Linked DNA regions of Pelodiscus sinensis. The protein of the gene in region 1 purifies or fractionates together with the protein of each later gene. This does not show direct contact. Links are inferred from orthologs where the notes say so. Each region holds a gene or a part of one and is shown in the gene's direction. Other genes may lie near its edges.

Region 1 (14,996 bases):
AAGAATGAAATCAGACTCGTTTGACGAACTGTTTTTCATAAAAGCATGTTGATTGTCACGAACTGTACTTCTGTTCTCTTATTCTTTATCAGTTGAATTCTGGATGAGATTTCCTGTTTTTCACAGGATAGATAGGAGAGTGACTGTCTATAGTTACTCAGGTTATCCCGCTTGCATGTATAAGTTGTACCTCCAAAATCTGGCACTCTCTTGTCCAGCAACACTCCTACTCTGGCAGGACCATGGATGTTCCTGGAGCCTAAGGGCTGGGCATCAGGGTCAGCAGCCTGGCTGGTGGCAGCACCGGATGGGGCTGAAGCCCCACAGCAGCCTCCAGCAGTTGCTGAGAGTATGGAGCTGAGGCCCAAACCCCCTGGCAGCAGGGGCTCGGAGTCCTGGCAGCAACCCCCAGGAGCACAGGGCTGGGGTCAAAGCCCCACAGCTCCCCCTGGCTGCATGGTGCTGGGGCTGTGCAGGGCCAGGGTAAGAGCTCCAGCCCTGCGGCTGCTCCCGGTTGTATGGGGCTAGAGCCCTGCTGCAGGAGCTGGAGCCTATGCCATGCTACTCAGGGAACTAGCAGTAGCTGGGCAAGTAACCCAGCAAGGTTGTAGGGAGAGCGAGGCAGGGCTGCTTGCCGGGGCAGTCTGCCAGCAGCATGTAATGGGCTTGGGGGCTGGTGGCAGTATACTTCTCCTGGTCCAGCATACTCTCTCATTTGGAACCAGTCAGGTCCCAACAATGCTGGATCAGGGAGGTCCAACCTGTATTTAAAGATTTATTTAAAAAATAATTAACAGCAGGGGCCATGAGATCACTTCAGCCAACTATTCTTCAATTTCTGAGTACAAGTTATCTAGGCCTGCTGATTTCAAAATACTTACCCTTAGTAAATGTTAATAACCTCCTTAGTTATTGGAATTGGGAAGTACTTCATTATTTTCATCGCTTACAGGTATATTCCCTTGCTTCTTTCCAAATACATACAGAAGAACGCTACATACTATGAACACTTCTGTTTATTATTATTATTATTATTAACACTTATACCATCTCCACCTAGGGACAGGCCTGCACTACTCTTAGATTTTATTTTACTCATATACTTTAAAAAAGTGCCTCCTGATCCTTAGCTCTGCCAACATTGGACATTTCCCTGTTTTTATTTTCTCCTATCTAGCTGCTATCATTCATAACTTCTAAATTATATTGATGGCTCTCTCTTTCCCCGTTTCCCTATTTGACATTTGTTACTTCTTTATTTCTAATTATTTCTTTCAGTTTTTCACTGAACCAGATGTATTTTCAGTGCAAGTTGCTCTCTTTCTTGATTGTAGAGTTGTGGATTTTTGGCTTAAGAGGCAAATACATTCTTTTTTAGGAACTCCCAATTCTCATTCACTATTTTTTGTCTAAACTTTTCTTCCCAGTCAATTTTTTCCTAATTTTCCTCCGTTTTGAGAAATTTGCCCTTTTAAAACACTGTATATTACTAATTGGAACTGTACAATTTGCCCAGATTGAATTTGGTCGGGTAACGATTGCTTGTCCCTAGGAAACCATCAACTTCCAGCTTAGTAATTAGTTCATCTTTATCAATCATAATGTGACAAAAATAGTTACTCATATTGGGTGCATGTCTTTTGACTTACAACAGAATCTTCTTAAAATTACATGTTAATTATTCACTTATGGTGCCATGAGATCTCTGGCATGCCTCTCAAACTGAATTCCTCCATAACAACATTAATTTTCTTTCCACACATCAAACAAATGCTTAAGGAGAAACTTAAATTGTTCCTGAAATGTTCTCTGGTTAATTGAAAGGTCTGTAAAAGCCTCTATTCGGTATTCTCACCTGTATTTTGTGCGTTAGCACATTGATACATATGAACTCTATGGTTCTTTGTTACTGATAACTCTAAAATATGGAATAGCATCTTTAATGTAGAGTGCTTTCTCTGACTTTTACCAACTCTGTTCTTCCTAAACAAGTTATGACCAATGAGTATCATTCCAATTCTGCAAAACATCTCACTAGGTTTCAATAATGCCAATTATTTCAAATTTCTTCTCATCAGTGAGAATTTCCAGTCCTAATTGCTTGTAATCCAGAACCCAACCATTGGTATATAATCAAGTGAAAAAGTTTATTTTCTTCACATTGTTTGTCACAGTAGTTCAATTTATTCAAGTCATGTGAGTTTGAGTATGCACTACTTGCCTCTTAAGCACTCACCTTTTGCAGACACACTTCCAAATGAGAAAATTAGCCCCTGCCTCTTTCATCTCTGGTATTTTCTACCTTATCTCACTCAAAGGACAGGAAAGGTCCCCAAAAATATTATTTGGAATTACTTTAGCTAGTTCCACGATCTCTGAAGTTTTTGATAGGCTTGCCATGTAATTGCCCTTTGCACTTTTTCACAATTTTTGTACACAAGATATTTCTATTTTTGAAAATAAATATTTTTCACTTCACAATATACGTTGCAGAATGCTGACTGCTACCCAAAGCAACAACTGGCATGGTCACTAATGAAAGACGAGGCAAAGGGGGTAGTTGCACTGTGGCCTGGGGTTCCAAGCTGCTGGGACCAGAGCCCTGGGCCTTTTAAATTGCCTTTAGAGCCTGAGGCAGCACTGAGGGCTGGCTGGAGGAGGTGTGGTGCTATCTAGGCAGTGCTGAGAGTTGGCTGCTCCTATCCCTGCCCCTTCTGCCTGAGGCCTTGCCCTTTCCAGGGGTCTCAGAACCGAGCCCACATTGCACAGGGCCCAGCGAAGTATGGCGCCAGCCTTGCCCACTGTTTGTATTTGCAAAGGATCACAGAACTCATGTTAAATGAAACAGAATAATAATTTATAAACTCACTGCATAATTCATAAATTCAGTTAGAGACAGTGTAATATTCATATATATATACACAACACCACTCCCAATAGCATCCAAAATTTAAGGGCCATTAGGACCACAGTCCTCTATACCACATTAATGCAAGTGCTCTTTCAAGATCCTCCTCAGCCACATAGCTCCATCTTGAGCTCTTCTAATAGACCATGTGTCATCAGATGGATGCTTCACTTCCACCTTGATACCAACTTTCCCCCCTTTGCCTCAGAAATATTATGAAGGCCAGAAAGATAGAAATAACCACTGAAAGCTCACTATAGCTCACTGAAGTCCAATCTTGTGAGTATAAACTGTCAGCGTCCCTTTAGGCTACCAAAAGAATATTCAGCTATCATTCTGCACATGCTAAGGCAATAGTTGAATCACTCCTTCGTACTGTCACACTGACCAGTGTATGTTTCATGGACTAAAGAAAAAGATGCGGTAGGTCATGTAGGTTCACTGTTGGCATTTCAATACAGGCAGTCCCCGGGTTACATACAAGATAGGGACTGTAGGTTTGTTCTTAAGTTGAATCTGTATGTAAGTCAGAACTGGCGTCAGCCGCTGCTGAAACTGATCAGTTTGAACCGCGGCTGAATCTGGATTCCAGTTCTGACTTACATACAGATTCAACTTAAGAAACCCAGGGGTCCCCAAGTCAGCTGCTGCTGAAACTGATCAGCGGCTGATTCCAGGAAGCCTGGGGCAGAGCAACTCTGCCTCGGGCTTCCTGTAGTCAGCCGCTGGTCAGTTTCAGCAGCGGCTGACTTCGGGACGCCTGGGGCAGAGCAGCTGGGGTGCTGCTGGGTTGCTCCAGTAGCGCGGCCAGGGAGATGGAGAGCAAAGCTGCTGAGCACGCCCGCAGTGGGACAGCCTGGGCGCGCTTGGGCTGTCCCCCTGCGGGCGTGCTCCGCGGCTTTGCTCCTGTCCCCCTGGTCTGCTGAGGGGGTCCAGCAAAGCCGCTGGACCCCCCCCAGCAGACCAGGGACACCAGAGCAAAACCGCCGCCTGGGCGGCTTTGCTCGTTTGCCCGGGAGCAAAGCCGCCCAGGTGGCGGCTTTGCTCGGGTGTCCCTGGTCTGCTGGGGGGGTGTCCAGTGGCTTTGCTGGACCCCCCCCCCCAGCAGACCAGGGGGACAGGAGCAAAGCCGCCCAGGCAGTGGGATTCCCGCTGCCTGGGCAGCTTTTCTCGGGGCAAACGAGCAAAGCCGCCCAGGCGGCGGGAGTCCCGCCGCCTGGGCGGCTTTGCACGGGTGTCCCTGGTCTGCTGGGGGGGTCCAGCAGCTTTGCTGGACCCCCCCAGCAGACCAGGGAGACCGGGAGAAGCTTTTCTCGCCCCGGAGGACACAGGTGGCGACCCACCGCCTGTGAGCTCCGGGGCGAGAAAAGCCCCGTTCGTAAGTACAGATCCGACATAAGTCGGATCCGCGTAAGTCGGCGACTGCCTGTATAACCAATGGCAATTCACCTGTCAGGAAAAAAATATCTGTTCTTGCAGCTTTCTGGTTCTTAAAGCTGTGAGTTTCATCCAACTTCCCTGACCAGTCCATGTCCATGTCAGTGAAGTGTTCCTGGTGATCCATGAACACTTGCATAACAGTCAATAAAATATCTCCTTTGGTTGATGTACTCTGAGGCAAGTTGGGCTGGTACCAGAACAGATATGTGGATGGCCATCTCTCTGCCCACTGCAATTCAGGAATCACATTGAGGCAGATCTATCTATTATGTCCTGCACGTTGTTGAGTCACAGTCCTGTGCAGCGGGAGATGATTCAGTTCTACACAAGTACATGGCAATGGCCTCCAGTGTGGACTCTACAACTAGGAAATAATTTTCCACTGACTCGTAGCAAAGCTTCCTTTTCAACTGTCAGTGCGGCTTCCATCCTGATGTTTTTGTACCAGAGAGCTGGGGCAAACTTGGCTCACAGATCCATGGGTGTAGCCTTTCCACTTCTCATTGTCCAAAACCTGTAATACAATGTGATCTTCAGTAAGTGCTTGTTTTTTAGGCCTCAAAGCAGTGTTTATCATCTACAAAAGGTCTGTGATTACCACCACCAACTTTTATTAGGATTTTGCTATGTTCCTTAGCAATCTTTTCTCAAATAATCCACCATATCCCTCAGCGTTTCAGTTATTTCTGTGGATCTTCAAGTACCAGGGGATTGTGCAGCCTCCATTTGCAACATTCTTGACAATAGTGCAGGGCTCTGTAGAGCTCAATGCTTCTGTCATAGACAGTGAAAAGTGTTGCAGGGGCTTCTGAGATGGTTTTTTAAGTTACAAAAACAATGGGGATGGATGGCATTATGGGATGGAAAAATTTGTGTGATGGGAGCTTGGTTCTTTGTTCCAAATGACCCATGCATAACCCATTTCTGCCATATACAGGCAGTCCCTGACTTATGTCGGATCCGCACTTACGAACGGGGCTTTTCTCGCCCCGGAGCTCGCGGGCGGCGGGACCGCCCAGAGCGCAGCGGTCCCGCCACCGTGTCCTCCGGGGCGAGAAAAGCTGCTCCGGGTCTCCCTGGTGTGCTGGGAGGGACTCTCCAGCACAGTAGGGAGACAGGAGCAAAGCCGTAGAGGCGGCGGGACCTCTGCGCCTCCGCGGCTTTGCTCGGGGCTCCCTGGTCTGCTGGGGGGGGGGAGGGGGCTCAGCTAGTCCGCCCCCCTCCCAGCAGACCAGGCTTTTGTTGCGGGACGCCTGGGGTAGAGCAGCTGGGGTGCTGCCGGGTTGGTCCTGCGGGGACCTACCTGGCAGTGCCCCAGCTGTTCTGAACCAGGAGTCCAGATTCAGCCGCTGTTGAAACTGATCAGCGGCTGATTCCAGGAAGCCGGGGGCAGAGCAACTCTGCCTAGGGCTTCCTGTAGTCAGCCGCTGATCAGTTTCAGCAGCGGCTGAATCTGGAGCCAGTTCGGACTTACATACAAATTCAACTTAAGAACAAACCTATAGTCCCTATTTTGTACGTAACCTGGGGACTGCCTGTAATGCATTTTCCAAAAGACAGTGTGCTAGATAGTGGAGTGTGGCATACTGGATGCATACCTGAGATGCATTGCACTGTGCATCAAAACAGGCACTCTTGGTGAGTATGCACAAGGGGAAGGACTTACAAACTCGATAGGTGAAAGTATCCAAAGTTTTTCTGAGGGAAGCAATCAGCCAAATATGCCCATGCATGAGCTATATATTAATTGCAGTAGCTTTACAATGAATAATGTAACTTGCTACAACCAAAGTATGTTGTGTAGAAGTGGCCTTAGAGCAGTGGTTTCCAAACTTTTCGGCATCAGGCCCCTTTTTGATTTTTGAAAAACCCTCAAGCCCCCACTCCAAAAAATAGCAGCAAAACTTGTTGAGGGGGAAAAAAAAAAGAAACTTTGACCAGGGCTGGAAAACTTGATTGGAGGGGGTTGGGGGAGGAGGGACTGCCTTGCCTCATGTCCCCCCTGGAATTTCTTCATGCCCCCCAGTTTGGGAACCCATGCCTTAGAGTTTTAACTTTTTGGGAGAAGGAACATGCCTTTATCTATGGTTATAAAATGCTATCCGAATTAATGAGGCATTATAAAGGGTATCAAGGGTATGGAAACTTTTTCCTACCAGTCTACTGTTAACTACTGACCCCTCAGAAAAAAAAGGCATGGGCCACACAGCCTCACAGGGTGAGGGGGGCACAGAGGCTTTGTTTTTTTCCTATGCTTTGGGATTGTTGTAAATTGCAATGGCATCCAATCTATCAAGTCAGGAAAGCTGAAAACCGAAAAATGAAGGGTTCAGGGTGCTGGAGGGGGGGATCCAGGATATGGTAGAGGGTTGTAGTGTAGTATGCATACTCCCAGGGGGTACGAGAAGCTTGTCAAGGGGGTCCAGGGAATATTTGGTAAATAACTAATTGAAATATTCCAAAAGTAGTAGTGTTAGTGAAAAAAGTTGTGGATTCTAGAGTCTAAAATTTATTTCCTTTCATATTGAATAGGGGGTACGGGAAGGTTTAATAAAAGCCAAGGGGGTACGGGGACCAAAAAAGGTTGGGAACCCCTGCTCTAGGGTAAAGCTTTGGATGAGGCATTTGGGGTGCAGGAGAGGGCTTAGGATGGGGCAGGGTGGAGAAGTCTATATGTAGTTAACTATACGATTAACCGATAAGCCAAGGCAGGGGGGAGGGGCAAGGGAGGCTGCCATGAAGCAGCCTCTGCCATGGGAGCTCGGACACCCATGAACAGAAGATGCTGCCAACCCACGCTGCTGCTTCTAGATCTGATCTAGAGGCAGCAGTGCAGGGCGGCAGACAGCTGCTTTGCATGGGGAGCTGGTTTTTAAACAGGCTCCCTTCACAGACCAGCTCCTGCCTGGCACCCCATGCTACTGCCTCTGATAAAAAGGCTGTAGCCCATGATGGCAGGGAACTCCCAGGAGTGGGACCAGAGCACACTGGCTGCTGCCTCCCACCCAGTGACTACAGAGTAGTCAAGTAACGGATAAGAATTCATGTGGTTACTCGACTATTCAATTACCTGATATCTAACATCCCTAGTACAGGGTCTGGGAGCGAGTCAGGGTGCTAGAGGAGGTCAGGACTGGGGTAGGAGATTAGGGTTCAGGAGGGAGTGTGGGGTGCTTATCTACAGCAGGTCCCAGATTCGGAAGTGGCCGGCACATGTCCCCATGGTCACAGGCTGTGGGGAGAAGTGACTCAGTGTGTTGCCCTTGCCTGCAGAGAATGCCCCTGCAGAGAATGCCCATGGTTCCTGGTCAATGGGAGCTGTGGGGATGGTGCCAGCAAAAAAATTAGAGCTTCCTGCAGAGCTTCCTGGATTGCACTCACAGACTATGTTTACACTAAAGAGTTTTTCCGGGATACTGATAGTATCCCGGAAAAACTCTGCTGCATCCAGGGAACGTCTGCTCTTTTGAAATTTCTTTTGGAAGAGCAGACACGCTTTTTCGGCATCCCTGTAAACATCATTTTACAAGGAAGAAGGATGTCAGTGTAGACAGGCCAAATGTTGGAAAAACCTCTTCCGAAAAAAAGGAGTGGAAAAAGCTACGCAAATTGCGAGGCTGAGGGCTTCCAGCCCATGGCACAGAGATTTGCTGCAGGCTTGATGAAATTATGCAAGGGGCAGGGTCTGGGCCACATGCCAGAGGTTCCCCACTCCTCCTTATCATCAACAACCATGGGCTCAGAGCCCATTGGTGTCCAGTGCCTCCCTCACTATTTCCTTCCATCTTTCCCTGTCCAGTGCGGAGTGGCTTAGTGTCTGTGGACTACCTCCGCATCAATCTACTATGTCATCTTCCCATTCTCTGTGGGGTACACCTTTCCTATTCAGACCATCCATTATGCTGAATGGGTCTTAACTTTTTGCTCATCTTTCATTCTGCAGATATGCCCAAATAGCTGTAACTTCCATTGTATAACCTTCTGCAGTAGATTCTCTTTCAGCTGTATCTTCCTATATAATTCCTCATCGGTAACCTTCTGCATCCATCCTATTCTCAGGATCTTTCTATAACAATTCCTCTCCAATGCCAATATCCTTCTCTTCAAATCTTTTGTTATCACTAATGTCACACACATGTACAACATGCTACTAAATACGCACATTTTCAAGACGCTCAGCATCTGGATTATATTAATAATATACCTAAACATTTTTAGAAGTATTTTTCTCCCATTTGCTACAAGGAGGAGGGAGAAAAAATGTTCTCCTTAACCTCTGACGATAGAACAAGAAGCAATGGGCTTAAACTGCAGCAAGGGAGGTTTAGGTTGGACATTAGGAAAAGCTGTGTGTCAGGGTGATTAAGCGTGGGAATAAACTGCCTAAGGAGGCTATGGAATCTCATTGGAGATATTTAAGAGCTGGTTAGATAAACAGCGGTTAGGAAAGTTCTAGATGATTCTAGGTCCTGCCATGACTGCCAGGGACTGGACTTGATGACCCCAGGAGATTTCTTCCAGTTTTAGGATTGTATAAAATCTGATATTGTTTGTTTGGCTCCTTTATCCAGATAGGTATTATTTGCTGGGAAAGCTGGAAACAAAAAGGCCGCAGCAGGCAGGCTTTAGTAGTAAAGGAAGATAAAAATAAATAAACCAGGCTCCTTGGTGCAGCAAAAATAGAAATTCCATCGCAGAAATGATGAATTTTGGGCTTAGAAAACTTTGACAGTTGTCTCTTCTCACATGCATTGTGTCCTACTCAGCAAACTCCCATTGGATTAGGCTCACCTTAGATTATTTCTGCACCTATAAATGTAGTTGTAGTAAAACAAAAGCTGAGACCCCGTATCCAGGACTAAATTCTGCGACGGTAACAATCACTGCAGACATAAAGCTCTGACCACTGTGTTGCCAATCCTTGTATCAATTCGTGTTTCTCCTGAAGACCCAACTGCTAAAATTGGCCACACCACGCCTTGCATAATTCACAAAGTGCCTACCAGCCCTGAGCTCTGAGACATTAGTGTGATGCGTGTGAAGGCAGCCGGGGGAGCGCTTGTATGGTGCAGACATGCACGCACCGGGTCGCGGGAGGGCTGAGTAAGCCGCAGCCGCCTCCCCGCTATCCGCCGCTCGGCGCTGCAGCCTGGGTACCGGAGCCGGGGCGCTCTGGCGCAGCAGGTGCCAACGCGCGGAGGGGCGGCTGAGACTGACAGGCTCGCGCGCTCCCGGATTTCCCGGGGAGGGCGCTGCCGCGCCTGCGCACTCGCGCCGTGTGTGTGTGTGTCTGACACTCGGAGGGGGGTGGGGCCGAGGTGGCTGCGCGGAGGGCGGCGGCGGCTGGGAGACACTCCGAGGGGGGAGGAGGGGACGCGGCGCCGGCCTCGCCCCCTGCTGCAGCGGGAGGAGGAAGCGAGCGGCGCGGGGCCCGCGGGACGCCAGCGGATACACGCGCTCGCCCCCCGCTCCTCGGCGCGGCCCTTCCGGGACCGGCCTCCGCCGGCTGCGCGGCCCGAGGCCCAGGTGTCACCGCGCCCGGCCCGGGCGGATGAGCAGCGCCCGGCTTGGCGTTGCCGTTTGTGGCCTCCCCATGGCCGGGCCCCGCCGGTGAGGGCAGCGGGAGCCGCCTGTGACCGTGTCTCGCCGCGGGAGGCAGCTCAGCCGCCAGGGGGCGGGGAGGGGGATGTGCGCGGCCGCCGCAGGAGCCGCCGCCGGTGCCACCGAGACAGGGGCCGAGGGCGGCTGCTGCTTCTCCTCTTCCAGCGGCTCCTGCCTGGCCGGGGCCGTGGGGCCCGAGGAGAGCTCAGCCATGGGGCTGGGCGCGCTGCCAGGGGCGGCGGGGCCGCCACCGCCGGGCTGCCGGGACCGCTACCAGCTGCTGCTCTCGGGCCGGGCCCTGGCAGACACCTACCGGAAGATTTACACGGCGGCGCTGAGCGACAGGGATCCGGGAAGCCACCCGAGCAGGTAACGCACCCCCAGGCCGCGTCCTCCCGCGCCAGGCGGGCCGCCCTCCCTGCAGCCATTAGCCAGCTATCTGGCGTGTCATACAGGCTTCACTTGAGTTGCCAGCGAGGTCCTAGGACAGAGGACGAATGTATCAGGGTGCATCCCTTCCCGTTGCTACCTAGAGCATCCGCGCAGGTAATCCCTGGTTTCCCAACTATGCAGATAATGCACCCACTCGCCATGTGCCCGTCCTGAGTCAAAGGGCAGGTACCGCCCCTTCCCCCAGGACCCAGAGTTATACAATGAGCGAGCTAGGTGTTAACCCCAACCCCCTGGGGGCTGTGGGGTAGGCAAATCGCCCCCCATTAGAACTACCATGTGGATAATATTCTTACACTCCTCCCCAGGGTGCGCCCCGGGAACAGAGCTCAATTCTTTCTTTTTTTTCTTCAATTCTGGAGTCCCTCTTTAACAAATTGCCTGGCCCAGTAACTATTAATGACAGGGTGATTCTGATAGGCAGCATCCAGTTTGCTGTCTATTACTGGGTGGGTAATGCACTTCCTCTGCAACTGTAATCCCTGCCAGCCGGCTCATTGGGTGCTTAATGGGTGCGCCTGTCCAGTTCTCTAGAGCAGTCAAAGTGCTTGCCCCAACTGGATCTGCCGTGGCATGTTTTACACTTATTGTTTAACACCCAGAGAGGTTACACAGCTGGTGTCTTAGATTCCTGGGCAGGTGTGAGACCCACCATCTAAGTTTTAGGTTATGATGACTACACTTGCAATTGATTGACAAAACTTTTGTTGTTCATGAGTGCTTAAATCTCCTCTCTCTGGACTACCAAAGTTTTGTTGCGGCAAGTGCAAGTGTCAGCACTGCTTTGTTGGCAGGTGTGCTTTCCTGCCGACAAAGCGAAAGCTGCTTGCAGGGAGCTTAGAAGTATTTTGTTGGCAAAAGTGTCAACACAGCCTTGTTGCTAAAAGCTGCATAGTCTCAATCTTGTTATGGACAGTCATGTACTGCGCCCATTTTCTAGTTACTGTTCCCTCACCAGGACAAGTTCCTTGCCCTGGTACTTTGACTTAAGGCAAGATGGCTTCTCTCTGAAAACCTATGGCCCTTTTAAGTCTGCTTCCCCTTCAGCCCTTGGCCAGGTACACTGTCTTCATGCAGAATACCTTGCCAAAGGCTCCCGGGGAAGCCCCACTCCCCAAACCCTTATCCCTGTCTTGAGGCCATCCTGCAACCCTTTTCTGTCATCCTAGACAGGTACCCTTCCCCATGGTTTGTAATGCACAGGCTGGGGGGAAGTGGGAGGGATGCAGGATCAGAGATGGAAGTTATCACACCAGATTGCTTTCTTGCCCAGCAGTAGCACTGGGAGCGTGTGAAGTGGTAGGAAAATGAGATGGGGCACAGGCACACTACAAGTCATCCTACTCCGCAGCAACAGCTCTCAAAGTTTTTATGGGACAATCTGCAGCAGTGGTGGGAAAAGGGGAGGCTGGATGTGGGTTCCATGTGGAGTCAGTTAAGTGGAATCCTGTGGGGTTGTTGGGGTGAGAAGGGGGGGGGGAAGGTAGCTGGCACAAATTGGGTTCTGATACTGCAAGCTCTAACTGCTGGGGTTGAGGGTCATCATGAAGTGGCAGCAGCTGCTGTTGCAGATGAAGCTGGGTATTGAGATGCTCTTGAGATAGTATGGACTGGGGTACTGCCCAGAACTGGGAGCAGGACAGAATGAGGCTTCGTCCAACTAAAATGCTTACAGCTCCATTTGAGATTATAGCAACCTTAGCCCTATATGTGGCTGTTTCTTGCTGAGAGCAGCAGTTTAGAGATGTGCAAATGTTGCATCTTGTGTATGGAAGCGGAAGCTGCAGAGCCTGATTGTCCCATTCAGCACTGAAGGGGACAGACATGAATGCACATATTGACAGCTTAGACCCTGCCAGCTACATGACAGCTGCAGAGTCTGTGTTGAATAAGCAGTGAGTTCCTGGGAAGCCTGGTGTTGGAGCCACCACATGAAAGGGCAGGAGTGAGTAGGGTGCTTGCCTCTCCCTAGCCTGTTAGGCTGGTGGCTGCTTCGTTTGTGATGTGGGAGAATATTGTGATCACATGCTTTGGTTTCATCTTCCAGGTGAGTGGGATCTGTGTGCATCCTTCATTCTTTTCTGGGGAGATTGCTGAGGAGTTCAGTGACATGTTTTCTTGTCTCCATTTGGAGAACCACTTAAGTACAGGAGCTGGAAGGATGGTGTCTTTATTCTCAAGTTGAATTAAGTTGTGACAGGCTGAGCAGAGTCTAGTCGCAAAGGAAATACTAGCTTCGTGAATCAGCCTTGATTGGTAAATGTCAGTGAAACATTTTTATAGTTTGAATTTGCTTTTTCTAATTATTTCCCCCTTTCAAAAGAACGGGAGGTCCAGTAATTAATTGTAGCCATTGTGTCTACAAGAGAAAAGTAATTTTGCAAACCACAAGAATAATGCAACCTTCTGATTTATCTGATGGCCACTAGATGGCTCTGGGCCCTTGATCTTAGTGGAGGTTTTTGTACACCACCTGATTCTATCTAAGCTGTATAACTAAGAAACTGTAATATTTCAGACAGCACCTGTAAATCTTACTGTTCTTGTTATGTCTATTCTGTGATTCCATATTTTTCTGTTTTAATGTTTTCATATCACGAGCCTTAAACATTGATTTAACTTGTTCTGGGACTACAAACATTCAATTTAGGGGATTCAAGTTCACCCTTAACTATGTAGTTATTGCAAGGTGTCATGAGAGAGTAGAATTAATATTGTTCTGGTGTCTAAACTTTGTTTTCATACCTTTAACAAATTTGGATTTCTTCTAAATGTAACACTGTCTATATTTGGGGTTATAATGGTTGGTTTTGGAATTATTAATGCTTTTGTTCTGTTTTTTACTATGAAATCCCAGATACATTGTGTCTATTGAAACTCTGGTTTAACATAGTTATTTTTAAATGAGGTTCATGTTAGACATTTTTAAAAGACAAAACAAACTTAAATATGATAGTTAATGGTTTTGCTGTGTTAAAGATGTGTAGTATATTAGTCTTAAGCTATTTTGAAATTGTAAACTAAGGCCAGATTCGCTGGTATATTTTGGCTTCTTTGAATCACTTTGAAGCACCACAAAGAAGCCAGAATATATTAGCCATGTCAGTAAGGTTTATAGCTGCTTTATGTCATTAGAGCTGTACAAGCAACTACAGAGCACTTGTGAATTTGATCCTAATTTGCTAGTGTCATCCATGGAACTTTTTAAAAGCAGTGACAGTTATTGTCACTGCACTGGAAACAGCTAAGCAATCTCCTAATCAGAACTCTTTACCAAGAACAACAAAATAAAAAATCCCCAAAACCCTGATATGTGTCTCACTGGCAAAGAATTGTGGCATGCAGTTTCTCTGTTGAACAGGGCTACTCAACATTGGAAGTCCCGGGGGCCACAGTGATACGGCACATGCCAAGGGCTGCAACTTAAGTGTGATTTCATATACATGCAGATATATATGCAAATATCTTATTTCACACTGATGGGCATGAATACAAAGATTAAGGCAAGACTACACAAGATACAGGTTCCATTTGTCAGTTCTGCTGATATTAATAAAATGCAATATTTACCCAATTTACACCCATATGACAGCACTTTTAGTGAGCAATGAAAGTCCAGGAATTTAACTACTAAAACTCATATCAACAGAAGGCCATTATATTGACTACTTTTTTGTTTTGGTTCCCGCCTATTGACCGTGTTTTGAGCCCCACATAAATTCAAACTGTGCTGCGGGCCTCAAACAAACTGGCAGCAGGACGCTTATGGCCTGCAGGACATGTGTTGAGTAGCCCTGCTGTAGAAGAATGGTGGTAGTCTGTGCTACCTCTGTCACAATAGTAAGTATATCCCAAATTATTAACCTCCCTCTGTCTGTAGTCATAAGTAGAGCTAGATTTTTGAATGTTTTTTATTAAAAACAAGGCGGATCTTTCTTTAAAATATTTGCTAAAAGTATCCTTTTTCATTCAACTTTAGCCATAACTAGATGCATTAGTTGAGTGATTTTTTTCAAACTTTTTTTTCTCATGACCCAGTTGAAGAAAATTGTTGGTGCCACTGACCCAACATAATTTGACTAGAATGGGGTCTCTGGGGTGGGATTGACAAGGAGAGCTTTGGGGTGTAGGAGGAAACTGCCTTCAGGGAGGTGAATCAGGACTGGGGTAGGAGGGGCTTACCTTGAGCGCTCCCAGTCAGTGGTGCAGTCGGGGGCGAGAGGGGGAAGGCGCTGGTACTTAAGGCAGGCTTCCTGCCTCTCTTGGCAACACAGACCATCCTGCACCCCAGAAGCAGCTAGCAGCAGGTTCCCAGCCGATGGGAGGACACATCTAGTGCTCAGGGCAGGGGCATTGCACGGAGCCCTATGTGCTCTCCTCCCTCTCCCCCGCCAAGGAAATAGGTCTGCTTCTGGCCACTTTTGGGGCACAGCACAGTCTGCAGTGCCAGAACAGGCAGGTAGCCTGCCTTAGCACTCCTGTTGGTCATCTGATCACCTTGCAGCAATGAGATCTAGTGCCTGACATGCCATGACCCATTACTGGGTTGTGACCCATAATTTGAAAACCACTGCATTAGTTAATAACTTTGACGATA
Region 2 (15,308 bases), on another chromosome or scaffold:
TCATATGCAGGGTTTGCAGCGTCATTCAATGGCTCTCAACGCTCCTGCCACCTTAGTGCAAGTCTAGAGGTGGTTCTTTAAGCATGGCGGAACCAAGCAGCTGCAGCACAAAAAGGCTATTTTAGAATTGCTCTCTCTCTTCCAGCCAGTGAGTACATCCCAGCAGCAGTAGTATATTTGCTTTACAGCAGCCACTTTTACTACAACATTTATTTGAGCAGACACCAACTTTAAACATATTCAAGCCTCTCCTGTTAGATAATGTTTGCACAATTGTCAGACCTGGAACTCCCATATATGTGCTTTTCAGGAAAAGGGGCTATGTATTCTCCATCTTGAGTAACTAGAGCAGCATTTTCAACCATGTTTTTCCTTCCCTTCTAATTGCAATATGAACTATTTCAATGACACCGTCTGCACATTAAATAAGATGATTGTGTGAGACCCGGCAACATGAAGTTAAGTTTCTTCCGTGGGCTCCCTCACTCCCGTCCTTCTCTTTTACATTCACTGGGTTCTGAGCTCACCAGTCCTGGGCTCACCTAAAAACACTTGCTCAGAACTGGACCATATCACAACACAAACATGTTCAACATGGATAGATTAGAATTCCCAGCTGGCCCATTCTCAAACTTTTAAAAAAGAGTTAGTTTACGACTGGGGATCAAGCAGCTGCATTCAGGCTGATGGCGAAGCACTCATGCATCTGGTAACAGGGGTAAATGGCTGCGAACCGGGCAAATGGTTGTTCACAAAACAGGTGGTTGGTTGTTTTGAGAGAAAGGAGAAACACAGAGACTCCTTGTGATCTGAGACCCGTCACCCCCTACATTCATTTTGATCCCCTCTCTATTTCCCATAAAGAATTAACAAGTACAGACTCATCTATCATGCAGACCCACCACTCCAGTAGCTGTTCATCTCTTCCCTCACCCCATCTTCCTATAGCCCCTTCCCAGCACAAAGGAGCCTTGCCCTGTTCCTCCTTGTAGTACTAACACACACAACCCTTTGTGACCTGTTTAATGTCTCGTTCAGGGAGTGCAGAGATATAGTTTCTTTGGTCATCTTCATGGGGAACAAGAAGAGAAGAATTGCAAATTCAACAGGCTTGAATCCTGGCTCGATCTTCTCTCTTGTGGGCAATCGGCAGCAGCGTGGACAGAAGATCTGACTCTGGGTAAAGGTCATATTGCACAGAGGTCTTTTTATAGCTAGTACATCCAAATATAGTTTGGAAACACACAAACACGTCTATAAACATGTTACTTAATTATGAATCTGGCGCAGCTCCTCCAACACAACAAACATCCCAGTTGTCTTTTACACAAATGACACAAAGATGACTTGCCCTGTTCAGCTTGTACTTGATGTATTAGTTGTATTCCTATAGGATTTATGGACAAGGAGTACACTGTGCTAGCTGATGTACAAACACAGAACAAACATACCCAGCTTTTATAGAGACACAAGATGGATGAGGTAGCTCTTTTATTGAACCAGCTTTTGTTGGCAAAAGACAGGCTTGTCTCTTTTGCTAACCAAAATGGATCCAAAAATATTACCTCACCCACTTGTCTTAATATCCTGGGATCAACATGGCTACAACACTGCAAATAGCTTTTATATGGTGCTTTTCATCGGTAGCTTCAAGCGCTTTGGGGAAACAGGCACAGAGCAATGTCCCTCAAGGTCGCCTAGCAGGCCAGTAGCACTGCCAGAAATAGTGCTCAGGCTCCCTGGGTCCCAGTCTAGGGCTGTATCCACTAGACTACACTGCCCCCCAAAAATCTATGAGTCAGACAATAGGTGGTGTCTCAGCACCTACTGCTGTCACATTTTCTGTAGGCTCCTGTAACAAAGGGAAGTCTGACACAAACGTAGAGGAGAGAGAGCTTTGTGGATGTTTGTTGGGGGAGGCGTAGTAGAGGAGAAAGCCTGAAGGAGCTTGTTTAGAAAAATCCAAATGTGCAACAGAAGCTGGCATCACTGGCCAGCTGGGGATGGGTGTATAATGTTGGCATCAAATGTATTCACAAACTAAGTGGCTTTACATAAAAAAAATGCATGTACTTTCCATGCTGGAAAATCCATGACTGGATAGCTACTGAAATTTGACATCAGAAGAATCAAAGCTTTGTTGCTACACACATTTGAGCTGATAGCCGACATGTTTATTTATGCTACTCTGGATACAACACGTGTGCGCCAACAGACTAGCATTGCTTGAACTGAAAAATTAGACAAATGTGGCTTGCTATCATTTATTAATCACCGACTCCCCTTTTCATTCTCAAATCAGAGGCTGGGCCCTACCATGCCTGCCCCTCTTGGATCTCTTCAAACCTCTCTCAGCCTCACCCTATTCCCATAGCTTCCTGCATTGCTGTGAGGGACTTGGACTCTAAAGTGGTGAGAGAGATGCCCTCATTGTTAAAGTTAATTCTAGAAGTGTGTTTACTGGCCTTTTGTTCAGGATATGAGGATCACCAAGATAAGAGCAGCACACAGATTCCCACTGCCATAGCGTGGATGCCTCTAGACCCTGATACATTCTGACAGTGGGCATTTCTTTGTCATCCTCAAAACGTCCGAGTGTTACATATTCAAAAGCAGAGGGTAAGAAAACAAGATCAAGCATACACAACTGTAAGGAATCTTTTAATCTTTAGTGAAGCACAAGATGCACAGTGGGTTACTCAGGGAGGCAAAGGGGAACGATAAGTATTGTAATTATAGGTTTGTTCTTTTCTTCCAATAGAACATTCCATTATCCCATTATCTCACCACTTGTTTCCACGCCCCCCCCCCCCAAAAAAAAAGCTTCTGACAAACATTAATTAACCTTATTTTAGTGATATCAGAAAGTTCAAAGTTCAGGGCAGAGATCACTCCTTTGCATGTATAATCAAGGAGACAAAAATAATGGAATTGGCCCTACTGGTTCCCAGACTAAAGTACTGCACTTTCAACACACGAGTGGTTTAGGACATCCTGGGGAAATAAGCTCTCTGAATTATGTGCACATCCCATAAGAGCGTGAAGTTTATGAAATAACTTCAGAGGCACGGGATTCACATTTGGTCACATCGCCCTACACGAGGAAGCTAACAGTCCATTTAGGGTGGAAGCCTGCTTGTCATACTCATGCAAGGAGCCCTTGACATCAATCAGACTTTTTTGTAAGAAAGAGAGCAGCACCTGGCCCTCTATTTTTATTACACTCTGCACTGAAGTTCGAAAATGCTCAACTTCACACTTTTGCATGCAGGGTTCAATAGGGTAACCATACAAGAGCTAACAGGAGTGCAGGGAGGGAGAAAGGTTTTGCCGAGATGGATTTAAAAAGATATTTTTGCCTCTGAGACACATGAAATCAAAGGACAAACCAAATAAATAAATGTCCCACCATTTTGTTTGTCTGAAAATCCCACTTTGATGAGCTTTAAATCTATTTAACTCACTTCAGTAATCTTCATTATATTAAATTAGAAATAGTTCAAACATGCTTGCACCCCACGTTTTCAGGTGCTGCATCTTAGAGAACAGATTATGTCCCATTTAGGCCTAAACTACCAGAAAGTTTGAAATGGGGAAAGCAAAGCATTAGAGAGGTAACGAAGCAAAGCAGGAAAATAAATTATGTTGTTCTAGTGCAGGGAGTTTGGAGGACTCCTGTCAATTGTGCTTTCAGCAAAGCTTACCATGCCCACTGATTTATTTTCTTCCCGACTGAATACCATCTCTCTCACAATGTTTGCAGACTGAAACATAAAATGTTACAACCTGTAGCATGAGGCTGCCTCAGTGTCTGCAAGTCCTCTCGGTCCATTTCCAACCAAGTCACACCTATATTCAAAATGCACCTTCTTCCAATCCCACAAGGAGATAAGGAAGTGAAGAAGCTCCCCTACTGAAATAGGGAGTGATGTTATTTATGTGCATAACGTGCCACAGCAAATTCCAGGCCACTTCTAAACGTGCAGAAGAGCTGGGGATTATTTAAGCAACAGGAAGATTACTCTCCATGGGAACCAAGAGGAGAGTGTTCTGTAAGGAACCACAGAGGCCAGCTCGCAAAAATTAAAAAAAACCACTAGCTGCTTGCCAAGACTTCCTTAAACAGTGTGTGTCTAGGTCGCATTCAGAGGGTATACAGATATACAGCTGCTCTGGTCCGCAACTAATACCCTCCTCAAGCCTTTGATCGCTGTGCATGAAATCCAGTTCACCTTCTCTCCATGTTCTATGCTTAGTTTTGGTAAAACTCGGGCATGTTCATTTGTAACCATGGTGTTGGGCTCTCCACCTCTCTTGGGGGAAGCTGATGTTCTGGCCTTCCTCCGGTGGATGGATTTCACAGGACTCTTCAATTGCTTCCCGGCTTCACTGCCGACATCCCACAGTAACACCCTTCCATCATTTCCTCCAGAAAGCAGCCAATATACATCTGGCAAAAAGAGGACCTGAGACACGCCCAGCGTGTGAGCCTTAAACCCCAGCTCCTGTTCAAACTTGACCCCTGTTACTCGGAAGATCCTGATTTTACCATCTTCAGCTCCACAACTAAAGACATTACCGCATGCTGCAACAGACAGAGAATGGGCGAGGGGAGGGTTAAAGAACTGGCCAGCTGATTGTTGTCCCACTTCCTCTGCTTCGGTCTCCTGCAGGGTCGTGGTCCACAGTGGGCGAGCTTTCTGCAGGTTCCACAACATAACCTTCAAATCAAACCAAACAAATCATTAGAACTACATCTGCGGAAACAGCCCTCCTTAGAATAGCTAAGGCTTAACCCTGGAGGTGAAGAGACCACCCTGAATGTTTGGAGGCATCAGGGAGAGGGAGCCATGACAAACTGACAATTGTAGCTATGTAACTGAAAACACACCGATGTAACTGGGAATGAGAACAGTGCTGAGAATCAGATACTTTCTCTGCAGGGACCCATTTCATTTCCCGATCTATAAAATGGGAAGAACACCTACTTCATGGGGTGGGAGGGTAGGTTGATGACTTCATAGGAGATAATGCTGAACACATTTAAATACTATGTAATTATGAACCAATTTCAGGATAACATACTAACAGTTCAGGAGAATCCAAACCTCTGGCTACTATGCTAGGGCCACATTAGGAGTGTTGGAGAGCCATGTTAACAATCCCAGAATGGAGGAGCAGCACAGCAAATATCATCTAACAACTCATATCGAGTAGACATTTAAGTTTTCTAGCCATCATCCACCTTCTACTATAAAAATCACCTTCATGTCCAGTCCACAAGACACAAGGCTTTGAGGGCGCTGAGGCCGAAAGGCAACAGAGGAGCAGATGTTTGAATGCCTCCTCAAGGACCGGCTGACTTTCTTATTTTCCAAGTCCACAATTTTTATCGCCCCAGAGTCATCTGCAGCAGCCAGGACACTGTCAGTCTCATTCACTGAGAGGCAATTGATCTCTTCCTCATTCAGATGGAAGCATTCAGCTGGCCCTTTAAGGAATCTGACATCCAGCACGCTAATGGTTTCGCCGTGGGAGGTGTACAGCCTGCTGGGGCAGGTGGGAGAGAACACAACACAGGTGACATCATCTGCCCTTGGGAGCTGTATCTGTTCTAAATGAATCCCTTCCTCGTTCCACATTGAGAGTTCTCCTCTCTCTGCTCCAGAAGCCACCAGACCGTCTTTGTTTACATTCAAGCACAGTACAGAAGAGGAATGTCCATCCCGCCACTTGACTGCCATGATTCTTCGGGGAGTCTGTGAATGAAAACAAATTGATGCATGAAGAATGCACATGTGCTCGGCTGACTCAGTAACGTGTCCTGTATGAGATGTTAGTGTCCCTACGGTAAAACAGACACCTGTAAAGGTAAACTTGTGAACTGGAACGTGGGCTCAAACAGTACTGACATTTTGTATCATCCCTCTTTGCTGCTTCACCATGAGAAGTGCTGCGCCTGGTTCCTGAACTATACTAAAGCACTGTCTGCTAATCTTGAGTAGCTGTCCAGATGGAAGGTACTTCAGCCATGACCCCTGCAGAGCACTCAGTACAATGGGGTTCCACTCTCTGACTGGTGTCTCTACGTGCCATCACAACACGCAAGTTAAAAGTTTCTAATGCACTTACTGAAAAGAGCAGCAGGAAAGGAAGTCTTGGGACTTGTCTACACGGAGTAAGAAAACTGTATAAGACAAAGTTCTAGTCTTCCTAAACAATAAGCTTATTTTGATGCTTATGGTAGAGTTTGCATGAAGTAACATCACAGTACACTGAAGGAAATAGTTTAGCTATACACAGCAGAACCCACACATCAGAAAGGAAACAACATCCAAAGATGGTATACGGAAAAAATGAAAAGTCACCAAGGACTATCTGTGAAGACAGAATGACGTAAATTGGTGGAGTTCAGAGAAGAGCTGAACAAGGGTTAAATATGAGCTCGAGAAGTAATCTGTGGTGCAGAGGAACTGAAGGAGAAAAGACTGAGGTGGCTGCTCCAGCCCAGCTAACCTGCTGCACTGCAAGCGGTGGGGCTGCCCCCACACAAACATAGTGTTGAACCAGTTAACTTTTTAAATGACACTTTACATTGTTAATTGGTGGCTGGTTCAGACTTCTCAGAGCCTGAACTTCAGCTAACTTGAAATGTGCTTGATGATCATGTTTATCCTTATTAGTTGGGAGTCATCAGCAAGCACGTCTATAGCTCTGCTCCTGCAAATGGATCCACCTAGAAACACCCCGCCACTTGCATAAGTCACATTGTAGGCTGGAGCTGAAAAGCGCGTTGTAAGCAGATTGACATGCCATGGCTGAAACACAAAGACATTCAGCGCTTCAGCAGTTTGGCATTCCAGCCCCATGACGTAAGAAGCACAGTCTCTACTGGAAGCCAAGCGTGAATTGCTCGGATTTTGCGGGGAGCACGTTTGCCAGCGCTGCATGGACACGGGATTTGCATTCACACCCGTATCGGCACAGGCCCCGCCCACACCCAGGAAGCCCGGCGGGGAGATGAGCGCGAGCAACGAGCGGCGATGGGGCCCCGGGCTGAGCGGAGCGCGGGGGACACTGTGGGAGGAGGGGTGGGCGGGAGGGATGTACTGGGAGGCTGAAGGGACGGCCCGGGGGGGGCAGGAGGGAAGGCCCGGGGGGGGGGGGGGCGGGACGGACGCAGGCCGCGTTACCTCCAACCGCACCAAGCACTCCGCGTCCCTCCCGCCGCCTGTTCCGGCGCGGCACGATGACGTCATCCCATCGCGCCGCTCGGTTCCCCCCACCCGCGGCCGCGCATGCGCTCCCATGGGCCCGGGCGGGCTCTGCCCTTCACCAAGATGGCGCCGCTTCCGGCGGCCGCCTGCCCGCGCGGAGCGGCCGCCACAGCCGCTGCGGGGGGCGCGGGCCGGCCGCGGGGGGCGAGGCGCGGGGGGGTTGGGCGGCGGCGCCCGGCGCTGCCCGCTCGGCCCCTGCCGCCCGCGCGCTGCGCTCGCTTCCGCCCGCTCGTGTCGCCCGGCGGGGGCGGGCGCAGGGCTCGCGCCGCCCCCTGCGCCGCCGCTTCGCGCGAGGCTGGCGCGCGCCGCCTCAGGGCTCTGTCGGCGCGGGGCCGGCCGGCCGGGCGATGGCGGCGGGCGGGGCGGGCTGGCGGCTGCCCGGGCGCGTGCTCGAGCTGGTCTTCTCCTACCTGGAGCTGCGCGAGCTGCGGAGCTGCGCCCTCGTGTGCCGCCTGTGGCACCGCGTCCTGCACGGCGACGAGAACAGCGAGGTGTGGCGCAGCCTGGCCGCGCGCAGCCTGGCCGAGGAGGCGCTGCGCACCGACCTCCTCTGCAACGTGCCCAGCTACAAGGGCAAGGTGCGCCCGCCGCTCGGGCCGCGCTGCACCCCCGGGCCGCTCCTCTACCGCGCTGCGACCTGCCCGCCTCCCCGGGGCGCTCCTCTGCCGCCCTGCACCCGCCCTGCTGCCAGCCCTCCTCCGCGGGCCGCTCCTCTGCCGCGCTGCAGCCTGCTCGCCTCCCCGGGGCGCTCCTCTGCCGCCCTGCAACCTGCTCTCCTCCCCGGGGCGCTCCTCTGCCGCGCTGCAACCTGCTCTCCTCCCCGGGGCGCTCCTCTGCCGCCCTGCAACCTGCTCTCCTCCCCGGGGCGCTCCTCTGCCGCCCTGCAACCTGCTCTCCTCCCCGGGGCGCTCCTCTGCCGCCCTGCAACCTGCTCTCCTCCCCGGGGCGCTCCTCTGCCGCCCTGCAACCTGCCCGCCTCCCCGGGGCGCTCCTCTGCCGCCCTGCAACCTGCTCGCCTCCCCGGGGCGCTCCTCTGCCGCCCTGCAACCCGCTCTCCTCCCCGGGGCGCTCCTCTGCCGCCCTGCAACCTGCTCTCCTCCCCGGGGCGCTCCTCTGCCGCCCTGCAACCTGCCCGCCTCCCCGGGGCGCTCCTCTGCCGCCCTGCAACCTGCTCTCCTCCCCGGGGCGCTCCTCTGCCGCCCTGCAACCTGCTCTCCTCCCCGGGGCGCTGCTCTGCCGCCCTGCAACCTGCCCGCCTCCCCGGGGCGCTGCTCTGCCGCCCTGCAACCTGCCCGCCTCCCCGGGGCGCTCCTCTGCCGCCCTGCAACCTGCCCGCCTCCCCGGGGCGCTCCTCTGCCGCCCTGCAACCTGCCCGCCTCCCCGGGGCGCTCCTCTGCCGCCCTGCAACCTGCCCGCCTCCCCGGGGCGCTGCTCTGCCGCCCTGCAGCCTGCCCGCCTCCCCGGGGCGCTGCTCTGCCGCCCTGCAGCCTGCCCGCCTCCCCGGGGCGCTGCTCTGCCGCCCTGCAGCCTGCCCGCCTCCCCGGGGCGCTGCTCTGCCGCCCTGCAGCCTGCCCGCCTCCCCGGGGCGCTGCTCTGCCGCCCTGCAGCCTGCCCGCCTCCCCGGGGCGCTCCTCTGCCGCCCTGCACCCGCTCTCCTCCGCGGGGCGCTGCTCTGCCGCCCTGCGACCCGCTCGCCTCCCCGGGACGCTCCTCTGCCGCCCTGCGACCCGCTCTCCTCCCCGGGGCGCTGCTCTGCCGCCCTGCGACCCGCTCGCCTCCCCGGGACGCTCCTCTGCCAGCCCCTGCAACCCGCTCTCCTCCCCGGGGCGCTCCTCTGCCAGCCCCTGCAACCCGCTCTCCTCCCCGGGGCGCTCCTCTGCCGCCCTGCAACCTGCTCTCCTCCCCGGGGCGCTCCTCTGCCGCCCTGCAACCTGCTCTCCTCCCCGGGGCGCTCCTCTGCCGCCCTGCAACCTGCCCGCCTCCCCGGGGCGCTCCTCTGCCGCCCTGCAACCTGCTCTCCTCCCCGGGGCGCTCCTCTGCCGCCCTGCAACCTGCTCTCCTCCCCGGGGCGCTCCTCTGCCGCCCTGCAACCTGCCCTCCTCCCCGGGGCGCTCCTCTGCCGCCCTGCAACCTGCCCGCCTCCCCGGGGCGCTGCTCTGCCGCCCTGCAACCTGCCCGCCTCCCCGGGGCGCTGCTCTGCCGCCCTGCAACCTGCCCGCCTCCCCGGGGCGCTCCTCTGCCGCCCTGCAACCTGCCCGCCTCCCCGGGGCGCTCCTCTGCCGCCCTGCAACCTGCCCGCCTCCCCGGGGCGCTCCTCTGCCGCCCTGCAACCTGCCCGCCTCCCCGGGGCGCTCCTCTGCCGCCCTGCAACCTGCCCGCCTCCCCGGGGCGCTGCTCTGCCGCCCTGCAGCCTGCCCGCCTCCCCGGGGCGCTGCTCTGCCGCCCTGCAGCCTGCCCGCCTCCCCGGGGCGCTGCTCTGCCGCCCTGCAGCCTGCCCGCCTCCCCGGGGCGCTGCTCTGCCGCCCTGCAGCCTGCCCGCCTCCCCGGGGCGCTCCTCTGCCGCCCTGCAGCCTGCCCGCCTCCCCGGGGCGCTCCTCTGCCGCCCTGCACCCGCTCTCCTCCGCGGGGCGCTGCTCTGCCGCCCTGCGACCCGCTCGCCTCCCCGGGACGCTCCTCTGCCGCCCTGCAACCCGCTCTCCTCCCCGGGGCGCTCCTCTGCCGCCCTGCAACCCGCTCTCCTCCCCGGGGCGCTCCTCTGCCAGCCCCTGCAACCCGCTCTCCTCCCCGGGGCGCTCCTCTGCCGCTCCTGCAACCCGCTCGCCTCCCCGGGGCGCTCCTCTGCCGCCCTGCAACCCGCTCTCCTCCCCGGGGTCCTCCTCTGCCGCCCTGCAACCCGCTCTCCTCCCCGGGGTCCTCCTCTGCCGCCCTGCAACCTGCTCTCCTCCCCGGGGCGCTCCTCTCCCGCCCGCCCGGGGAGTCTGGAGCCTGCTGGCCTCCCTGCCTTTGCCGCTCCTCCTACACCGGGCTTGTAAAAGCCTTTGAAATGTGGTGGGAACGAGCTGTAAGAGGTTAATGCATTAATTCGTTTCATGATTATTCCCTTCTCCCTTTCTGTGGTTTTAGGTACGGGCCTTTCAACATGCCTTCAGCACCAATGACTGCTCCAGGAATGTGTACATCAAGAAGAATGGATTCACGTTGCACCGGAACCCTATTGCTCAGAGCACAGATGGGGCAAGGACGAAGATTGGTTTCAGCGAGGGTCGTCATGCCTGGGAAGTTTGGTGGGAGGGCCCTCTTGGCACGGTCGCTGTAATTGGAATTGCCACAAAACGGGCTCCCATGCAGTGCCAAGGCTATGTAGCGCTTCTGGGCAGCGATGACCAGAGTTGGGGATGGAATCTGGTGGACAATAATTTGCTACATAATGGAGAAGTAAATGGGAGCTTCCCACAGTGCAATAATGCACCAAAATATCAGGTAAGTGAGATGAAGCACCAGCTAGAGGTTCTGCTGCATCTGTGGCAACTGTCCTGCAAGAATTGTGGGACCAGGACAAAACTTCATTGCCCAATAAGCCTTAACACTGTTCTTTAATATGGCCCTTTTCTGTTGTAAGCATGTCTGTCTCCTAAACCTGGCTCACGTAGCTATGTATGCAATGCTTACCTGTTGAGGGGCAAAATTTACCTTCTTCTCTTTTTTCTGATTTACTAATTTTTTAGATTACGTTCCTGTTTGGTGTACAGATTCAGGTTCCAGCATTGTCTCCTCCAGTTAGAATAAAAATAATCGTGTACCATTCTTATAATTTCAAATCTTATGTGAAATTATCCTACATTCATGCAGCTACCTCTTTTAAAAAAAATAAGAAGTACCAGAGCATTCTGTATGCTTTAAACAAGGATTTGTCCCTCAATATCAGGGCTGTTTGATAAGCATTATGTCATTTGTAAGTGTGTTGTACATCGTATTGTAAGTGTGTTGGGTCTAGTTGATAATCGGGTAGGAATTCTCCAAGGAAATTCTGAGTGATGCTGACGCGATGTTTATTCAATAACTGGTATTCTTAGAGGTGACATCTTTTGGATTAAACATAACATTAAAGTTCAGATAAGGTGCCTTAATTAAAGGGTGCATGGCTTTTTTCCCCCTCCAAATCAGTGGTTTCGCTTTGGCCAATTCCACTTTTGGACAACTATATTCTGCCTACTAGATTTTTTGACAGCACAGCTTCAATTGAATACACTAATACTTCCTGACTTACACTGTTATGTAGAGTTTTTGTGTGATCCACTTCAGATGTGGCTGCATTTCAGTGGGTGAACATTGTTTAATGCAGGGGTGAAGAACCTAAAACCCAGGGACCAGATGCAGTCCCTGGCTTGCCTGGATCCGGCCCCTGAGGCTCACGGGCCCCCCCAGCACTGGGGAGCCTGCACTGGTGCTCCAGCCTCCCTACCCTCCCATGAGGCTTGAGCACATAAAATCTAAAAGCCTGGGCTCCCCTAAGCTTGGTGTGCGAGGGGAATGTAGGGGAGTGTCTTCCTCCCTCTCAGTTAGGAGCCACATAAGGGAGGGTTTGGGTTTTTTGTGGTTTTGCTTCTCACTTGTGTGCAGCTCCCAACTGATCTTTCTGTGGATCAATGGCCCCGACTCAAAAAAGTTTCCTCATTCCTGGTTTAATGTATATGATACAGCCGGTCCCCGAGTTACGAACGCATCGACTTACGACCGTTTGTATTTACAGCTAACCTCCTATACAGCCGGTCCCCGAGTTACAAACGAAATCCGCACTTACAAACCGCACGGCTGTACGTCAGTGAATATAATCCTACTTACGAACAGATCGAGTTACGACCTTGTGTTTGGTACGTAACTTGTTTATAAGTTGGGGACCGGCTGTATTCCTAAATCCCCACTCTAAAGTTCGCTGTCCAGGTGGTATAGCAAACATTATCTGTGTAATGGTACTTACTTTTCAAAAATTGCACTTTTCTCTGAAACATTAACCTATGATTTTTATGAGCAGACATGAGATTATTGGAATTTAGAGATCAGAGAGACTGTCTTCCTATAGCTGAGTTTGTACATTTGACAGCATTGTGTGTAGTCACTCTACTGATTGATTTTTTTTTTTGTGATCCATTCCCCTTGTTTGGATCTTTCAAACTCTAATGGGAAAGGAGGGTGGGAAGAACTTGAAACTGCAGAACTGTCATGGAGACTCAAAGATATGGTGTAGACAAAACTGCTTTGACATTAACTTTTAAACTGACTTGATTTCAAGTTGATGTCTCTTTAAAGAACGCTCGGATTGAGTAAAGCATGTAACTTGATCTTTTCTTTTATAAAATAAAGACTAAAAAGAATAAATTCTTAAGTGCCATTTTTGAGGTTCAGGGTGACTCCATTTGAGGGTGGATTGATGCTTCCACAATATAGAAGCTTGTGCAGTGCCATGGTACTCCTTGCTCTTAGGAGCTGTGACTTATCTAAATTTCAAATCATGCTCTAGGTAAATGAGCTGGCATGCAATACAATGTTTATTTGCTGATCTGTGATTCTCTCAGCGCATTCAGTGTTCACTGCTCTAGAAATGTCTTTTCGAGAGGTGGGGGGGAGGGCAAATGGGAAAAGCATACACATAGTTTTGAACTTTCCTGCTCTACTGGTAAATTGAATCATAGAATCATAGAATACTAGGACTGGAGGGGACCTCGAGAGATCGAGTCCAGTCCCCTGCCCTCATGGCAGGACTCAGTACTGTCTGGACCATCCCTGACAGACATTTATCTAACCTACTCGTAAATATCTCCACAGATGGAAATTCCACAACCTCCCTGGGCAATTTATCCCAGTGTTTGACCACTCTGACCGTTAGGAACTTTTTCCTAATGTCCAACCTAAACCTCCCTTGCTGCAGTTTAAGCCCATTGCTTCTTGTTCTATAATAAATAAATAAAAGTGTAATGCTGATGCTCAGAGTGCACACTTGGCCAAAAAAGTTTTTTAGTGCACCTGGCATACAGCCCTTGCTTCTTAAAACCAGTTCTGTGGCTTTAAAATCTCTGTATAAAGGCTTTGCATATTTATCATAATAAAAGCTATCTTCAGAGTCATGGGAAATACAGGGTGGAGATGATTGCAAAAATTGCCACATGCTGCAGAACACTGAAGTAGATGCAATGCAGTGTAATAATTGTTATTAGCAGAACAGTCACATGTGAAGGGCCCATGCATGGTGCATGTAGCATTGTGATGGTTACAGGAAAACACTGTTAATCTGATATTTTCTGTGTAGCTATAGAGAAACTTACTGTGCATCAGTGAAACTGACACTCCCCCAGAAAAATTAGTTCATTTATATTGAGAAACAGAAAAATGCCCTTCTTGTAGGGTCTCCTCTTCTATTCTCTGTGCTATTTTTGTTTTCTTTCCTTTTAATTGTTCTCCCTTTGAGTATTTCCTGACTCTTTCTTCTTCCTATCTCTGTTTGCAGATAGGTGAGAGAATTCGAGTCATCTTGGACATGGAAGACAAGACATTAGCATTTGAGCGGGGTTATGAGTTCTTGGGAGTTGCTTTCAGAGGATTGCCAAAGGCCTGCCTATATCCAGCAGTGTCTGCTGTGTATGGCAACACAGAGGTGACTTTGGTCTATTTGGGAAAACCTCTGGATGGATGACATTGTTTCATTGGGACATCAAGATGTGGAAGATCTGGAGAAGCAATCTGCATGTTAACTAGAGGGAAACATGAACTTGAAATGAAGTGTGCGTGTGTATTCATGAAACATCCTGGAAAACAAAGAATTGTGATTTGGAGAACCAGCCATACTGCAGAAATTGTTACATTTCCTTTTTCTATCAAGCCAGAAATATCCTCAGGGTTGGAGTTGGTTGAGTGGGCAGTTCACACATGCATGTTGCAACAGTTTTCATTGCTGAAATGGCTGTATGAGATTTCAGTTACTAAGGAAAGGTTTTATAGACGTGCTTGAGGAAATTAACCTGAAATTTGTTGGTAGCGTTTTTTGTGAAAGACTCCCATTTTAAAACTGTGTTCCTGCCTGCCTGCCTGTCTTCCTTCCTGGTTGGCCAGTGTGGCTACCGGAGGAGAAGGATTGGCTGAGTTTTATTTATATTTTTTAACATACTGAGAAGCATGGTCTGCCTGGACTGCACTTCTCATATACAATGAGATATAAAATGTGTGCAGCTATTTTTAAATGTATTTTAAAGCTTGTATATATAGAACATGTAAAAAACATCCTGTTAAATAAGGTTGAATTTGTTCTAAACTGGGATATAATTTCTTAAAGGAGAAACCACTACGTGGAATTAGAACATCCTCTGTTGGGAGATAGCATACTTGCAAGTGTTGTAAAGTGTCTTGAGGTGCTTTTGTGGAAGAAGATGGGTTCATAGGTTCATTTGGATGTGATACAAAGTTTCCCTGGTTAGAGCAATTGTTTTTCTGTGATAAAAAGAAGCCCCCCCATGAGTTATATTTTGCCATAAATTCTGATTCCATATTGACAAAGGAATGCAAACCCATTTGCATCTTCTTGACACAGAAAAACCAATTAATCTCTAACAAATCATAAAATGTATAATATTGTAAAATGAGTCTTTCAAAGTCATATGAAAAACAGGGTTGAAAGTCATGGCTCTAGATTTTATTTTTCCGTTAAAATGTTTTAAGGATTTAAGGTTTCCTTTGGTTTGGCTTGGGTTTGGGTTTGTTTTGTTTTTTAATAATGGCCCAGATATCCAGATGCATGATCTGTCCACCTACAGCCAAGAATAGTACAATTCTCACCTGCCTCTGACAGGAATTCTGGATCAGGTCTAGTGTGCGGGGTTTTCACCCTTTTCATTTTTCTAAAAACTACTATTCACAAACTTGTCAGAATTACAGTACTCATGGAATCTGAGAAGGCTGTGAGACCAATTACTTGTGTCCCATGAAGAACATGTCGGTGCTGTGCCAGCAGCTTTCCACGAAGGCTGAAAGCTAAGCAATGAT

What was found.
Region 2: the proteins of MYCBP2 (region 1) and FBXO45 purify together in Homo sapiens (affinity purification with western blotting; 7 studies listed by BioGRID and IntAct, with this or other methods). This does not show direct contact. The link is inferred for Pelodiscus sinensis from reciprocal best matches to the Homo sapiens genes MYCBP2 and FBXO45.

The regions. Positions count from the first base shown.
Region 1 is NC_134711.1:266,228,571-266,243,566, forward strand, and holds the start of MYCBP2 (E3 ubiquitin-protein ligase MYCBP2), read left to right. Parts: upstream 1-9,447; 5' UTR 9,448-10,034; coding exon 10,035-10,318; intron 10,319-14,996. UniProt on the Homo sapiens protein: Atypical E3 ubiquitin-protein ligase which specifically mediates ubiquitination of threonine and serine residues on target proteins, instead of ubiquitinating lysine residues.
Region 2 is NC_134720.1:547,378-562,685, forward strand, and holds the start of FBXO45 (F-box/SPRY domain-containing protein 1), read left to right. Parts: upstream 1-7,540; 5' UTR 7,541-7,624; coding exon 7,625-7,855; intron 7,856-10,400; coding exon 10,401-10,757; intron 10,758-12,027; coding exon of another isoform or gene 12,028-12,148; intron 12,149-13,779; coding exon 13,780-13,965; 3' UTR 13,966-15,308. Other genes in the region: SMCO1 (single-pass membrane and coiled-coil domain-containing protein 1), read right to left, coding at 1,019-1,191; WDR53 (WD repeat-containing protein 53), read right to left, coding at 4,134-4,721, 5,265-5,759, 7,194-7,310. UniProt on the Homo sapiens protein: Component of E3 ubiquitin ligase complex consisting of FBXO45, MYCBP2 and SKP1. Functions in substrate recognition but also plays an important role in assembly of the complex.